2 linked regions of the Neodiprion lecontei genome follow. The protein of the gene in region 1 purifies or fractionates together with the protein of each later gene. This does not show direct contact. Links are inferred from orthologs where the notes say so. Each region holds a gene or a part of one and is shown in the gene's direction. Other genes may lie near its edges. The genes, in order: metal-response element-binding transcription factor 2 and polycomb protein eed-B.

Region 1 (4,152 bases):
AACGAAAACGTTAATTGGAAATTACAAATGAGGTTGAAAGACGTCACGTCATTGTAACGATGCAGTTTCAGAAAATCTCGAATTGTCTGAAATTCAGTAAATCATAATACACCGTTAACAATATTGCCATATACCCATATATCGCGAACTTAATTCCTTGAAAGTTACTCTGAAGTTGCAAAATAATAATCTTTCTTTCAACTTTTCATTGCTTTAACGTTACCTATACCTTCGACCTCGTTATTATATACGCTGCAAAATCCTTCATGTAGAAATGTGTATATGTATAAATAATGTATATATTTTATAAATAGCAGTGAACTTGGCGGATGCTCGTAACTGATTCATCGGCCGATACCTGATAGACATATTACGATTGTCACTAATAACGTTTTGAGACCATCGGTGTTGAGAGTCATTTCCTACGAATGCTTTTTATATCGTGTATATTATGAGATCAAAGCTTTGAAATATTTCCTCACGTATAATTTGTGTGTATGTTTGTCTGCACGAAAGGTGAGAAATATGAGACACCATTGATATGCTTAGTTTATTGTATAAAATAAAATTGTACAACACGTATCTATAGCCGTAACAGTGAATTCACCAATAAAATGTAATATTTATTTTCTACGTCAATTCCTCAATCTTCATTCCCTTCTCATGTGCATACAGCTATTGAATCTTCCTAATATTTTCCGTTTGTCAACTGTATTATCCTCCTCTTAATAAATTCCGTTCCATTGTTGTTATATATTCAAATTAACAATGCAGCGAAATTTTTCATCGCTGAGCAGAAGAAAGGAGAAGAATTAAGAATGGCGGAAGAAATCGGTGCAAAGATTTCAAAATGGCAAATCATTGAACGCAAACAATGCGTGAAAAGCGATTGAATCTCGGTGCATTATAATTTGCAAAAAAGATTACAGTTGTCGCGATACAGGAACGTGCGTCACGTAGTACACATAATGCACGTAATTCTTACGTCACATGTTGTGGCTTGGCGGTCCCGTGACAGCAGCGAACATCGCGTATACGTAGGCATATAAATATTGCATTGCAAGTGCCCCGATTATTATTTTCCCCCTATTGTTCCTTAGGTCAGACATGAACGGCCAGTTGCCGATAGACATAATGATGCTTGTAGAGTTCAGTGCGCGTGATCAATTCCCGACACGACTATAAAACCCGGGTGTCGGGTTATAGAATCAGGCGTGTGTGCAAGTGGGTATGAAGTTATTACGAATGCACCACCGGACCGCCGACGAAGTATGTGACGAAAATGACCGGCTTCTGGTCTTTCCCGATAGCGATGTAAATACAGCCGTAATGTTGTAGATCGGTCGAAGGGTGGTAGGGCACAATTTCGTTCGGCGGTGAGTCCGGATCAGCGGTTAATTTGTCACCCCCATCGACGAGTTTAAAGGACCTTTCAGAATGTAAACAAATTGGAAAGGCGGACAGCATTATGGCAGTGAGTGTACCGTCAGGCGGAAACTGGACTGCTTCACGGTTTGACGAACTAGCGTCGGATCGAAACGAAGTCTCGGTCACCGATCGGTCGGTTAAAAAATATCTCGAAACCGGCCCGGCCTTGTTCTTTAGTGCTCGAATTTTTTCAGTGCGATGCAAGGATTGTTTATGTTGGGTTATTCGGTCGCTGATTTGACCCGCGTAGCAGCCCAGCAAGTGTTTCCCCAAACATGGCGGACGGAATGTATTCGAATTTGTTACATCTAGAATGAAATTAGACCGAATAATCGGCACAAATGAATAGCTGTAAGTGCGGGAGGTAGCTCGAGTCGTACTTAATGGATGTAAGAAACGATCGGTACAACGACAGGTGATTCGAGTCTGTGGGGATTGTGCGGAGACTAAATGAAATAGGATTTTGCCGCGCGCGGCCGAGTCTGTCGGGGCAACCGTGGCGGGGCCCCCATGGTTGTAAATGGCTGACGAGATGGAAAATGAAGAATAACATTCGCCTCTGATATTCCGGCCTAGACGTCAAGGTACGACCCTCAGAATATCGCGCTGGTTATCGCGAAACTTTCAATTTTATGTCACAAGTACACCGCTCAAACTCACCCAGGCTTCTATCTTCTTTACTCTTTTTTACACGGGGTTGTTTCGTCCTACGATTATCTTATATGAAACGATTGATTCGGTCTGTGGGGGATGCACACCGACCTCCCATGCACCCCCTGGGCGTGTTTCCGACTTTATCCCCGTCCTCCGACGACTCGAATATCATTCAAAATCCCCGAGACTTCGATCAGATTTTCTCAAACCTTGCATGCATTGACCCACTGGCTGAAAGTCCTCCAGACATCCGACTGTTTTTATTTTATTTCGGTTCTGATTATGTCCTTCGTTCGTTTCATCCCTATTTCCTAAAATTCATTATTCTATTTCTTATCGAATCTTTTGGTCTTCCACTCGTACCGTTTTCCAACGAAAATATATTCCCCCCGCAGATTCTATCAACGCGCAGCCAAAATTTACCCTCAATCATCTTTTCATACATTTATTTCTTTTCACCTTTGTACTTACACATACTGTAATTGTTTTCAATAAAGATTTTACCATCTATAAAGATTCATTTCTGTACCCGCTCTTTTGTCTTCATGTTTTTTCAACCTTCACACATTTGACTCGATCATCGATATAACTGAACTGACACAACTGCCAGCGATGTCTCAATGTTATCCACATTCATCCACCACCTGCCGGTTTCGTCTCTCACATTCATTGGATTTAATTTCTATAAATGTTGCAACATACCTCTTACAGGAAATTGCTCTACATCATTGGATGTTCATTAAACTCACAAGACCAGATTTCTTACGCCAATATCATCGCGTCATTAGACTTGAATTCAATGTTTTCTAACTTAGTTTTATAGTAGCTTAACATGTCAGTATATCAAACACCTAATTTGCAGCATCTAGACGAATATACGTATACATATATGTATGTATGTATGTATGTGTGTATATATATATGCGTACATATATCTTTATGCTGATCCTTCTCTCTGCCACAGAAACATTTATTTTTCATTCAAGTCAAACATAAGTACATTTTTCATAATTATATGCATACTTGTGTGCGTCAATCCTTTATTTTGTAACAGGGAAAAACGTATCTCTGTAAATCCTGGAATTTAAAATGTCTCACTACCACTGATCATTCGGGTATGCTTATTGTAACTGCATGCGCCTATTTACCTTACTGATTGGGTATTCATAATATCTCGTTTGTGAGCAAAGTTCGTCTTGATACTAACTATTCTATGAACCTTGTAACCATGGTAAAATTTATGCATTCAAAGGCAACCGATGCAATCGCAAGAAAGTTTCTAATATTTTTCAATTAGCCGCTAAACTTTTCACATTATCTTTTATGCTAGGGCAACTGGTCATAAAAGACTGCATTGATCTATAAATTTTATCGTCAAAACATTTGAAGACAATCTTTTGTTTCGACTTGAATCATAACTTATCAATAGAAATTCATGCGTGATACAAGTGGGGTGTAAATTACATAATACAAATAGTAGCGAGTATTGATGTATCACTGAAAATGAATTATCACAGGGCGATAAATGAGAGGTTATTTCTTTTTCTTGGAACAGTGAACATGCATGTTTCTTACATTGTACTATGAGCCTGATGCAGAGTTATGATTGTGGCAACTCAGAAATCATAAGTTGAGATATCTGCATTTGTTACAAAGTTTTACATATCACCTAGTCGCTGAACACTCTGCATCATCGCAGTGCTAAAGCAATCAATTTACCAAAGAAAGAAAAATGAGAACAGTAGAATTCTCGAGAGATTATCTTCGAAAGGTTATCGCATAAGTTTCGGTAATACATCTGCGTTTAAGAATTAATGCGTTTACGACACTGTCCATTTTGGAAATTAGCCTTTGATGGTAAGTATGTTGCAAACCTGAAAAATTTGTATCACGATGCCCACTTGTCAGTTAAAACTTGAAAGATAGGGATCAACTCATGACGTTTTGTATATGTGGTATAAATTTGTGAGAGAAAAATTATTTCAACAATTTCAGCAGCCGGGTTGAAAATGTCGGAGCCAGAGGAGAGTCCGGCTGTGCCGGATAGTACAACTAAGGAGCAGCGTCTCG
Region 2 (3,600 bases), on another chromosome or scaffold:
GTCGAATGGACGAGTGACAGAACTGGTAAATAATAATCTTTATTGAACATTATTTTATTCCCACCATCTCTGCAAGTATTTTCAAGACTGCAAGGAAAATTATGGAATAATGGTGAACGAAAAGCCACTGAGATTATAATTGGTATATTGAATATAGCTATCATAATAATAACTAAGATATTACATACTTTGAAATGGCAATTATTCCAGATATACTTCATTAATATTTTTTCACCAGGTCTACCCCTCACCTCATTACCATGGGCGCCAAGTGCACACCCTCAAGACGTAGAGAAAAAATTTACATATCTAAACGTTGAAGGACTTCGAGAAGATGCCGGCGATACAACAGGGACCTTCATCTGCGAAATTATTCTCGTGTAGAACAGTTCCTTCTTCTAAAATCATGTAATACTTTTCAGTGCCTATTATCAAACAAAAGTTGTAAAATATCACTTTTTGAAACAATGAAATTTTTATTTGTATAGTGTCGTGTATACAGTAGAACGTCGATTACTCAATTAATTGGAACTGGGTACCGTTTGGATAATCGTAAATTCGGATAACCAATCTGCACTATTCCTTGGGGGCAAGAAAAAACACTCGTTCAAAATTATAGAAATGTCTACACGATAGGTACCGTTCTGTATATTTTCAAGGTGCAGAGGAAGAGTGCAATATTCTCTTTTAGTATGTACAATCAAAATTTCTTTGTGTTCAGACTGGTCGTATTTTTTGTTTTCGACAAATTTATAACATACATATAAGGTATACGAAACTGTTGACAGAAGGCCAGAGAGAGATCTATTGTTGAAATTTATTACTGAGATACGCCGATTTCGCGGAAATTCATTCCCCGGGTTCCGAAGATAAGACTGATCGCATTTCGTTTGAATGCCTCGCTTGGCGATTCCATAAAATTCATTCCGTGTGGTGGAGATTGGTGTTATCGAACTAACCAACCACGTCCAAAGGTAAGGACTGACATGACTCCACCCGAGTTTCGTAGATGTCGCCAAAGGCTGTGACTTGTGAGCCTAACATAGTGTTTACCGTTATGCACTGCCATAGCATCACGTAGGCTTATGTTTATTGCTAATAGCTAAAGCAGTCGGTAGAGAAACAGAGCGAACCCGATCTCTGAAGGCGCAAAAGTGACGAAGTGCTCGTGATAGATTATAACTTATAGGTTAGATTTGTAATATGCAGGACGGATACGATACAACGGTCTATTTCATGGCAGTTGCCGGTGGCAAACGTCGGATGTTTGGTTTCTAATGGCGCAGGTCTTGCGTTATGGATTACGAAAAAATTTCGCGGTCATTTCGTTTTTGGTAAGGCTTTACGCTTTCGTTACTGGTTCTTTTTCTCACTTAAGAAAATTTTTTTAAATACTGACGCACCACAATCATCCCTAACGGAACAACGCACAACTTCAATCTCGCAGATCGTTTCCACCGCCGAATATTGCGAGAAAATATCTCAAGGATTGCTGAATAGTGCATCAGGGAAAAAACAACAAATTCTCATACATCGGTGCGAGTCTGTCGCCGAAGTTATTGCCACTCATAAAAATCTTCACGTCGATTTTATCGTATTTGCAATCGACTCTCGGCTAACGCTATCTTTGAAGGAGGTGGGTATTTAACGACAAAAATTATTTTTTCGTCGTGTATTAATGGTTTTAAGATAGAGAAAAAAACCTGCATCTGTTTTTCGTCATAATCGTAATTACCTATACTTTTTTTTTATTCTCCTATTCATTCAGGTTGAGAAGAATATTCTGCTAGTTGATCAGAGTTTTATATTGTTGAGTAGCACCTGTTTAGTAAATGGTAACAACATATCGTCAAATGCTATGGGTGTGACGCAAGATCAGATTTTGGAAGTTTGCGACAAGTACAATCTTCGGCTTCTCAATTCAAATATTAATGTGAGTTTACGCATTTCAAAATGTCTAAATACTACGCAATGTCGATTTGTCAAATAAAATTAGAAATATTTTAAGAAGGTGAAAAACTGAATACAAATTTTCATTTAGGTACCGGAGGACTGTCTCTATTTAGGTGATCAAATTATCAATTTATCTTGCACAGTTCTCGGTCAGAGAAGCGGATTGCCATTGTTAAACATCCGTGATCAACATACAGCAATGTACATTGTCGATGATTCTGTGGCATAAATGTGCAGTTCAAGTGAGTCACATGTACAAAGTGAAATAATTATTCAAACAAGCTACAAAAAATAATTCCATGAAATTTATCACCACAAAAAACTTCCCAAGACTGGATAAATAATATTTGAATACCATTTTATGTTTCTTACTAAATACTAAAACAGCAAATTGAAACTTTTTGAACTCCTCAATGAGTATCTACCAATTAGTCCGATGTTTGTAATTATTGGATATGTGTACTTTCAGATTATCAACAGACGGAAGATATAATGAAGAAAGCTGGTGCGAAACCTCAGTGCCAGACTTATACTTCGAGTCAAGAAGACACTGACAATGATAGTGACGAAACCGAGTGTAGTATTGGCAGCAATTCGACTGCAGGTACACATCGAAGCGATACTCCGACTCGCAGTGCTCGTTATAAGAAGAAGGGAAGACGGCGAAGTAAAACGGCAAAGAACAAGTCTCTGAATGACAAACCAATGTATAAATACTGTTGTAGTGTCAAGGAAGACCACGGGCAGCCTTTGTTTGGCGCTCAGTTCAATCACCATCTCAAAGAAGGTGAACCAATGATATTTGCATCAGTAGGAAGTAACAGAGTCAGCATTTACGAATGCCCCGAGGGAAACAATATCAGGCTTCGACAATGTTACGCTGATCCTGACAGTGAAGAAAATTTCTACACATGTGTATGGACATACGATGATTCAGGAAAACCATTATTAGCCGTTGCAGGCTCTCGAGGAGTAATTAGAGTAATTAGTACTGTCACTATGACGTGCATTAAGCATTACATTGGTCACGGTCACGCAATTAATGAGCTGAAAATTCATCCGAAGGACCCAAATATCCTTCTTTCAGCTTCGAAGGATCACGCTCTACGTTTATGGAATATTAAGACTGATGTTTGCATAGCAATATTTGGAGGTGTCGAAGGTCACAGGGACGAAGTCTTGAGCGCGGACTTTGATATGATGGGACAACGGATAATATCTTGCGGAATGGATCACGCATTGAAACTTTGGTCCCTCGATAAAGGGGAAATGCTGGATGCTATCAAGCAGTCGTATTACTGCAATCCGACCCGCAACGGGAGACCTTTTGACTCGATTCTGCAACATTTTCCCGACTTTACAACAAGAGATGTGCATCGCAATTATGTGGACTGCGTTAAATGGTACGGAGATTTCATACTTAGTAAATCTTGCGAAAATTGTATCGTATGCTGGAAACCTGGACGTTTAGAAGATACCCAACTTCGTAACGGCGAAACAAGCGCCACTGTACTGCATCGCTTTGAATTCAAGGAATGCGATATATGGTTTATACGATTCTCCATGGATTTCTGGCAAAGGACAATAGCACTTGGTAACCAAGCTGGTCGTACCTATGTGTGGGATCTGGAGGTTGAAGAACCAGGC

What was found.
Region 2: the proteins of metal-response element-binding transcription factor 2 (region 1) and polycomb protein eed-B purify together in Homo sapiens (affinity purification with mass spectrometry; 3 studies listed by BioGRID and IntAct, with this or other methods). This does not show direct contact. The link is inferred for Neodiprion lecontei from reciprocal best matches to the Homo sapiens genes MTF2 and EED.

The regions. Positions count from the first base shown.
Region 1 is NC_060261.1:15,229,338-15,233,489, reverse strand, and holds the start of metal-response element-binding transcription factor 2, read left to right. Parts: upstream 1-1,541; 5' UTR 1,542-2,012; intron 2,013-4,077; exon of another isoform or gene 4,078-4,080; 5' UTR 4,081-4,091; coding exon 4,092-4,152. UniProt on the Homo sapiens protein: Polycomb group (PcG) protein that specifically binds histone H3 trimethylated at 'Lys-36' (H3K36me3) and recruits the PRC2 complex, thus enhancing PRC2 H3K27me3 methylation activity.
Region 2 is NC_060263.1:6,600,198-6,603,797, forward strand, and holds the start of polycomb protein eed-B, read left to right. Parts: upstream 1-1,081; 5' UTR 1,082-1,334; intron 1,335-1,447; 5' UTR 1,448-1,636; intron 1,637-1,768; 5' UTR 1,769-1,933; intron 1,934-2,041; 5' UTR 2,042-2,182; coding exon 2,183-2,195; intron 2,196-2,422; coding exon 2,423-3,600. UniProt on the Homo sapiens protein: Polycomb group (PcG) protein. Component of the PRC2/EED-EZH2 complex, which methylates 'Lys-9' and 'Lys-27' of histone H3, leading to transcriptional repression of the affected target gene.